Linked DNA regions of Yarrowia lipolytica. The protein of the gene in region 1 interacts with the protein of each later gene in a pairwise test. Links are inferred from orthologs where the notes say so. Each region holds a gene or a part of one and is shown on either strand. Other genes may lie near its edges.

Region 1 (4,804 bases):
ATACAAATCACGTGATTAAATAAACTTTAAAACCTAGAAACAAAGAATTCCATTGTCATGCTGTAATTAAAATGAGTATTTTAACCCCCACTCTCTGTCAAATTGCTCTAACATGTTACGTGTGGGTACGGTGTAATTATTTCTGTGCTGGCGATGACCATTCTTGTAGTTGCAATTTGCAATTACGTGCGATCAAAAATCTCAAAAAATCGACACAATACGATCGGCTGATTAATCACTTGATTCTTACATCAAGACCGATATGACCACTACTTGTAGTAGCGACCACAAGAACTACAAGTACTTGTACAAGTAATACCTTTTTACTTGTACTTACTCGTGATTAGTTGCACAAGTTCGTACGTACAAGCACGACGATTACAATGTCATGGAAATGGTACAATTCATTACATACACTCTTGAATATCGTTACAGGGAGCGGAATAAGGCTACAAGTAGACAGCTTTCTCGCCCATATAGGTGACCCAAAACAGCTCACAAGTCCTCTAAAAACGCTCAGATGGACATGAGAGATCCGATAAAGGTCAGGATCAGTCGAGATCGGACCTCGACGATATCCTCGGGAACCAGCCAGATCAGTGCGCCCAACTTTCGGGCGATAGAGATTGCCAGCTTGGCGTTGAGGTACTGATCCTCAGGAGTGTCACCGGGCGTAACGAGGTCGTAGTCAACGTAACCAGGCTTGAGACCATTGAGCACGTCCAGCAGGAAGTGACCATTGGCCAACGACGAGTCCTTAAAGGATCGCACGGTAGAGCTCTTGCCACCCTTCTGGACCTGGCCCTGGGCCCACTTGAGCATGTCCGAATCGGACACTTCCTTTCCGCCCTGCGACAAACTTGCCAGAGTCAGCACAATGTTTCGTCGCATCAGCTGCCACACCAGACCCAGGGTCAGAGTCTTCTGGCCCTCCGTAATGTCGTTTCCTTCGATTCCAACCAGTGAGAACTTGTTGGCTTTTCCAATCTCCACGGCGTAGTTGGTGTTCTCCACGGCCTTGAAGGTCATGAGCTCATTTCCGTTAGCAGGACGCTTGTTAACAAACTTCCAGTTGACAGATCCGGGAATAACCTTGTCGTACGCCTGCAGCAGCACGTTTCCGTCCTTGAGGTCCTCGAACAGCGAGACGACGGGGGGATCCACATCGAGTGAATTAAGCCACAAGGTGAAGACTCGAGCCTCTCGCTCGCCCTCGGCGTCAAAGTCTTCGATATCCACCTTCTCGTTCTCCTCCAGGGGGTCCAGACCGGGCCAGGTGTTGAACAGATGGGCAACAAAGGCCAGGTTAAGCTTGGGGTTTCCAGAAACCAGTGCGGAGGGAGACAGGTACTTTCTGCACCCAATCTTGTCGGCGTTGGTGAGAATCTCCTCGGCTCGCTGGAGCAGATCCTGGGTCTGAAGAGGAGCTCGAGAGCACTCTTCGGGTTTCAACTGGTTCATGAGAATTGTGTAGTTCTCACCGTCACAAACGTCCTTGGAGAAGTTGTTGACCCGTCGGTTCCAGCCAGCAGCCTTGAGGTGGTAGTTGAACCATCGCAGCAGGATCTGCTCCGGGGGAAGACGCAGGAACTGCTCGAGAGTCTCGTCGTCCTCCAGCAGTCGGTAAAGCTCGGGATGGTGCTTGATATCGATCTTGGACAGCAGACCTCGTCGGATAATCTGCCAGATGAGACCTAGAATCAGATGCTCCTTACCGTCGATGATGTCCTCAGCTCGCACGTTGACAACCACACAACCAATGGCCTTGGCGGAGTTGATGACAATGTTGGCGTTCTCAGTCATGGTGAACTTGTTGAGGGCTTTCTTTCGGGGGAAGTTGAGAACTCGAGTATCGATGGTGTCGGGTACAGAGTCGTTGATCAGCTTGGACAGCACAAGACCGTCTCGACACTCATCAAACACCTGGAATGTGTCTGTGGGAAAGGGTAGTCGGTCGCCAATGTCTGCGTCACCACTCAACACCGAGTTGATGTGACGGGTGAACTCTTCTCGCTCCTCCTGGTTGATGGTGTGTTGGGTACCAGAGGCAGTTCCTCCAACCACAATTCGGCTGGTGTTGGCTCGTCCAGGCGAAGCAGGGGCCTGTCGCACACTAGGATTGGATCCCTTACCTTCCTTAATCTTGGCCAGCAGCTCCACGTAGTCATCCATCTCCACTCGACCCGACGAGTCCACGATGTTCTCTCGAACAGCTTCTCGGATTTCGTCGTAGGTGGCTCGTCCAGAGGCGGCCACAGCCTTGATCACCTCATTCTTGTCAATGTATCCCTTCTCATCGACATCCAGTTGCCTGTGTTAGTCACTTTTCCATCCATCATTGATATTTCGCATGTTGCGGCTTTATACTCACTGGAAAGAGTCGCAAAGACCAAAAATGTCCTCCTGGGTGAGAACTGGGAATTTTTTCTGGGTTAGTAGGAGGTCAATGGGTATAGGATCCGTCGTGTACTCACCTGTAACTTGATGGCGTTCATGTTGCAAAGATGTTCTTTTTGCGCACAATAACTCGTACCGATGTACCAGGTATTAAACTGTAGTATAAGAACGTCTCTGGTTTCGGAGATACCACAGTGGGCATATGCAACTGCATCAACTCTAGTGAAGTGGCAAAGGCTAATTTGGGGGCTGGTTGGGGGTTACCCGGCCAGGGAATAGAACAATGTAGGTGGTCATATGGGGCGGAGGCAGTGTAGAGGGCTGTGCACCAGTTGCGGTGGCGGATTTATTTTTAGAAATCTGCTGTGGAGTAAGCGTGTCATGTGACCTATTCATACTGGTGACGTGACAACCGAGTCTCTACAAGTACACGACAAATCATTTTCTTAGTGGCCCCTCTCATAATTTTGATTTTGATTTTGATTCGCAACATTCTGGCTTTTAGGGTCAGAAGATTGAGCGGGGCAACTTTTGTTAAAGGTAATACCCCTCAGATTAAGAGCTAGACGATTAAGACAGAGATAGCAGAGAATTGTATCAGTGGGAGGCAGTGAACAAAATCTCAGCTGGTTTGAAACAGCGAAATATTGTTTTTCGAAGGAGATTTTCCTATATATCGCCAAAACCTTATATCCGGATGGAGTTACTTGTATCCGCCATTTAGCCGGAGTGGCAAGGCGGTGGGGCGCTCAAAAGTAGGTAGTATTGAAACCAAAGTCGATCGAGTATGCAGATAGAGTATCGAGATTGCCTTCAGTATGTCTTATTTTCCTAGGCAATTGTCAATGGGCACAATAGAACGTCTGACGCGAATGCGACATGACGTATATAAATGAGGTTATACGAGCAGCCACAAGAAAGATCGCTTATATGTACTATAGTGCAACACTGATGGCAGGGTCATCAGGTGGAGGGTGGGTTTGGCAAAATATATTGATTGAGGTAAGATGGTCACGTGAGTGTGGTTTACAGATGTGTAGGTGCGAATGAGAGATGGGCCTGACTGGTTGTATACTGACAAGATACACATATATGTTCAATTACTGTATGGTGCGCAACGATATGTCAATACACAAGTTTCACTGACACTGGCAAGTCCGCAGATGACGAGACTGGTATGGCTGTCGTACTGTAGTCATAGATGGCCACCTGTTAAGTATGTACAGTGGCCAATTGCTGAGTTAAAGGACTGTAGCCACCTTGTTCTACTTGAAGTAAAGGACAGTATGATACTTGCAGAGTAGTCATGACCTCTAAAAACAATTCACTGTGGAAATACCTAATCACGCGTAGCTTCCACTTGTATGACAGTTGTCATCATTGTCCATTGTCCAATGTGTTAATTTCGGTGTTACCAAGTTTTGTATAGACTGAAATGTAAGCGATGGCTACACTGGGATACTCTCTCAAGCTTCGACACCTTCACTGTCTCGAAGCAAGTCATGCTCAGATTAAGGCAGCTGACAGTCTCCAACCAGCAGTCTATTAAGCTAGCTCCACTGCCTCATCAACTTTTACTCCATTCAATTGGCTTAGTTAATCTGATCCTTCAACTTCTCTCTCCACTCTCCCACACCCTTATCAATGTATGCTCCGACTTCTTCGCTTCCCTCATATTGCAGCTTTGTAGCGTCCATCATCTCCGTACCCCATCTTCCTGTTCTCGAGCCCAAACGATACTCTCGCTTAAGAGCTGAAGGGTCCTCGCTCAAGGTCACCCACACAGGCACGTTGGCTCCCTTATAAGGGTCAATGTTCATGGTGGTCAGTCCAATGAGCCGGGCAAAGTAGAACATGAGATACATGCCGAAGGCAGAGAAGATGTTGAGGTACTCGGAGGCCGAGGAGGAGGTGAAGATACCGGGGTCGGTCAGGTACGAGTAGATACCATGCTCCTCTTCCAGTTTCGGCGAGTAGTAGTTGTGGGCCACGTCAATAAGACGCTTCGAGCCCTTGTATGGCTCCTTGTTGTGAATCAGCTCAATGTCTTCCAGATCCACGTACTTTTCAGAAGACGTGATGGAACTGATCCAGATGACCTTTCCGCCGTTCTTGAGCTGCTCGGTGAGCTCCAGCACCATGTACCATGGTCCAAACACGTTGGATTGGTACGCAGAGCCCATACCGTCGTCGGACTTGACTCCCACAGCCTGGATCATGCAACTGGGATTCTCGATTTCGCTCTTGAATTGCGTGGTGAATCGCCACATGGCCAGAGGCCAGTTGATTCCAATGTAGTTGGCTGCGTTGGAGTTGAAGATGAGAGTGTCGATTCGAGAGAACCGCAGCTTGAGCTCCACCAGAGCGCCGTTGATAGACGTCATGTCTGCCAGATCAAACAGAAGGT
Region 2 (3,108 bases), on another chromosome or scaffold:
AGCGCCAGCTGCTGTTGTTTTTCCGCCTTGAGAAGCTGTGCCTGGGCCTGCTCGGCGCTCTTGTGTGTGTGTTCGGCGGCTTTTGTCGGCTCCGTCATTGTGTGGTGTCTGTAGAATGTAGGTGTGTTTTTTTTTTGTGAGTGGTTGGTTCCGATTCTGCCCGAAAAATTCACGTGTTCCTAGGTCACGTGGGCTCTATGCGTGTAAAGCGGGGGATGTGGTATTCGCCTTGTTCGCCTCGGTCTCGTGCCTCTTGCTTCCTGGTCGCTGGTAGCGTTGCTTCTTGAGGCCTGGTGGAGTATTAGTGTAGGTGGTGATGCAAAGAAAATTCAAAAAAAGAAGTCAAATGCAAACCATGTTATGTAAGTGGTTGGTGGGGTGAAAGGGGCCCAAAGGGGAGCAAATATACAATTAAAAACATGAAAATCATATCTTGACCCTGTATCCCTTCGAATAGATCACGTGACATGTCGCCAAACCGTCCCTATCATCGCGTTGTATGGAACATCAACTCCCCCCCTCATCGACAGACACACCCTATACAGAATAGACACTGTATGATTGGGTTGCGAATAGAAGGGACCTTCCAATGAATGACTACCAGTACATCTACGTACGAGTAGACATGGGGCCTGCCAAAGGTGGGTCACATGACCTCGAGTTGCGCGATTGGAGCAATCGATAAATTTGAGAGAAGTCGGCTCTATACCTCCACTCTTGCTACATCCCGCGCACCCCACAGTAGAGTCTGACTGGCATGTTTGCTCGGTACACATGATTTTAACCTCTTCAATATATATACTCGGGCTAGCGTCGGAGTCTAACGTCTGGGGTTTTGAGGTGTGTTTCTGAGTCTGACAAGGCAGCTGGTAAGGATTTTTGTGTTTGCTGGATCGGGTGTTGGTGGTCATAGGGCAGTTATTGTGCTCTATCAGGTCAATTTCACCCTTGGTGGTGCTCTGTTCCCCCTCAGTGGGCAATGTGTTCACGCATCTTGACCCTACATTCACCGCTTTCTCCTGCCACCTTTTTCTCCACATCGAAGTCCACCGCCAAATGCACGTCATGCTTATTTGGTTCGGAATTGATTTCCTTTTTGAGAGGCCTGCAAATGGTCTCGATGGAGTATCTTAGCGAGATGAGACGCCGGCTCAGATAGATACCCGCCGACACTGCGCAATTTCGCTCTTCACAGAGAGAGCTGCCGTTAGCAGTAGTTGTTGGTTGTATCTCACTAGCAAGAACGTGATTGTTGATGCGTAGGCCTCTTTCGAAATAGAGATCGTACAGTAGCTACTTTGTAGCCAACAGACAACAGAGATAGACAGATAGCTTATCTGGCGTGTTGACAGGTCACGTGGCAAAAGGCAGTCCCGGTCACGTGCTCTTATTTCACACGCAGGGTGTATTTTATTGATTTTGATAGCCGTCTGCTGTCATTCCGCAATCACATGATGCGCCAACGCTTTTCTGTAGTCCAGTAATCGCTTGGTCCTGGATGGTGTTCATAAATGCACTATGGTGAGCTTATTTCTGCGGTTGATGACTCGGGCCATCCTGTGTGTCTTGTGGTTGTGTGTTCGAAGCCGAGCGGGGTTCCTTTGTGGTGTATTTGTGGGGTTTGATGGTTTGATTCTAGAGCTTTTGAGGGAGCTCCATGTCAATTGACTTGGAAACGAGTACAGGTGCTCAAATACGACTTTCTCTGGTACACATGCCTTCATTACTCCAATTTTGGACAATATCGGACCTAGAACCTGATTGGGGAAAGATACAAGAGATTTGAATATATCCCAGTGAATCTCATGTCACGAGCTATCCGCTGGTATAATCACATCTGGAATAATGCGTCATCTACCCCCATTTCAAGTCATCGGATATCACCTCTAACTTGCCCTACCATTCATCCTCCCAAACTCTGATAATGCATACAGCACAGCACATCACCAAATCCCACTCACCTGCAAATAACTCACGAGCAGCACACACCACACATCACACACCATGTCGCAGATTGATTTCCGAAGAATTGACGTCGACCAGTACGACCCAGACTCGTTCATCTCCAAGGAGGATCTCACTCCTCCCTGCAAGCCCGTCTCTGCCGCTGAGCAGCAACAGGTGGCCACGGAAATCCGAGGAGCCATTTCTCGAGGAGAGGCCAAGGCTGCCCTTCCCATTGCGCTGGACTTTGCTCCTTACGGTGGTGATGACAAGGTAAAGGTGAGTATGGAGCGGTGGAAACGATTGCTCTTGGCAGCAAGTGAAACCCCCATCAGCTCGTGATCAACCGACATCTGGGGACACAATCAGTTGTCTTTTAAATGTAACAACCGCCAGACCCCACGTACTAACCCAGGACGCCCACCTCAAGTCTGTAATTGAGGTTCTGAGCGCAACCAAATCGGCCGAGATCCCATCCGTGGTCAAGGCTCTCAACAAGGAACAGCAGGATGTGCTCATCAAGTACCTGTACAAGGCCATGGGCTCGCCACAGGGCCAGTCCCAAGGAGTCGGCGCCATCCTACTTGCCTGGTACGAGAAGACCGTGGACATCACCGGACAGGGAGCCGTCGTTCGATACATGTCTGATCGACGAACTGTTTAAGCGAGTTTAAGCGACTACAAGCCCCTCGAACAGCGGATGGATGTGGGTAAATATTATGAGGTTCTCTCGCAATTGTAAACTACAAGCGTTGCAGATCAATCATATAACGGTAGCAGTGCTAATGATGTAAATGAATGTAAACTATCATCTTTGTTTGGACAAAATCAAGTGTAGACTGCAAGTCAGTGTTCTTGTGTAGAGCCTATCGAAGAGCTGCTTCAGTCTATGTCGTCCATTGGCCAGTACCAACGGTGAATAATGTGTGAGTTCACTTGTCATAGACACAGTGGATCTGCCAACTATCAATATTGTTAATGTATGGACCTTCACGTTCCCTCCACGACATGGCATCGTCTAAGATGATGCCCCTTGGGTTGTCATTGTCTTCTTACATATGATCATCCAATTGACTAGTAAAAACTGTAGGTGGGTATGAGATCAACTGTTAGGACCACTTTCCATCTACCACTTGAATGATATCATGATTATTTATGTAATTA

Evidence for each region.
Region 2: the proteins of YALI1_B22793g (region 1) and YALI1_E13727g interact in a protein complementation assay, tested with the Saccharomyces cerevisiae proteins (2 studies listed by BioGRID). The link is inferred for Yarrowia lipolytica from reciprocal best matches to the Saccharomyces cerevisiae genes SAC6 and ARC15.

The regions. Positions count from the first base shown.
Region 1 is NC_090771.1:2,277,051-2,281,854, forward strand, and holds YALI1_B22793g (uncharacterized protein), read right to left. Parts: upstream 2,496-4,804; coding exon 2,475-2,495; intron 2,428-2,474; coding exon 2,372-2,427; intron 2,312-2,371; coding exon 517-2,311; downstream 1-516. Other genes in the region: YALI1_B22820g (uncharacterized protein), read right to left, coding at 3,990-4,804. UniProt on the Saccharomyces cerevisiae protein: Binds to actin, and functionally associates with actin structures involved in the development and maintenance of cell polarity.
Region 2 is NC_090774.1:1,370,726-1,373,833, forward strand, and holds YALI1_E13727g (uncharacterized protein), read left to right. Parts: upstream 1-2,004; coding exon 2,005-2,223; intron 2,224-2,359; coding exon 2,360-2,608; downstream 2,609-3,108. Other genes in the region: YALI1_E13708g (uncharacterized protein), read right to left, coding at 1-98; YALI1_E13718g (uncharacterized protein), read right to left, coding at 459-1,067. UniProt on the Saccharomyces cerevisiae protein: Functions as a component of the Arp2/3 complex which is involved in regulation of actin polymerization and together with an activating nucleation-promoting factor (NPF) mediates the formation of branched actin networks.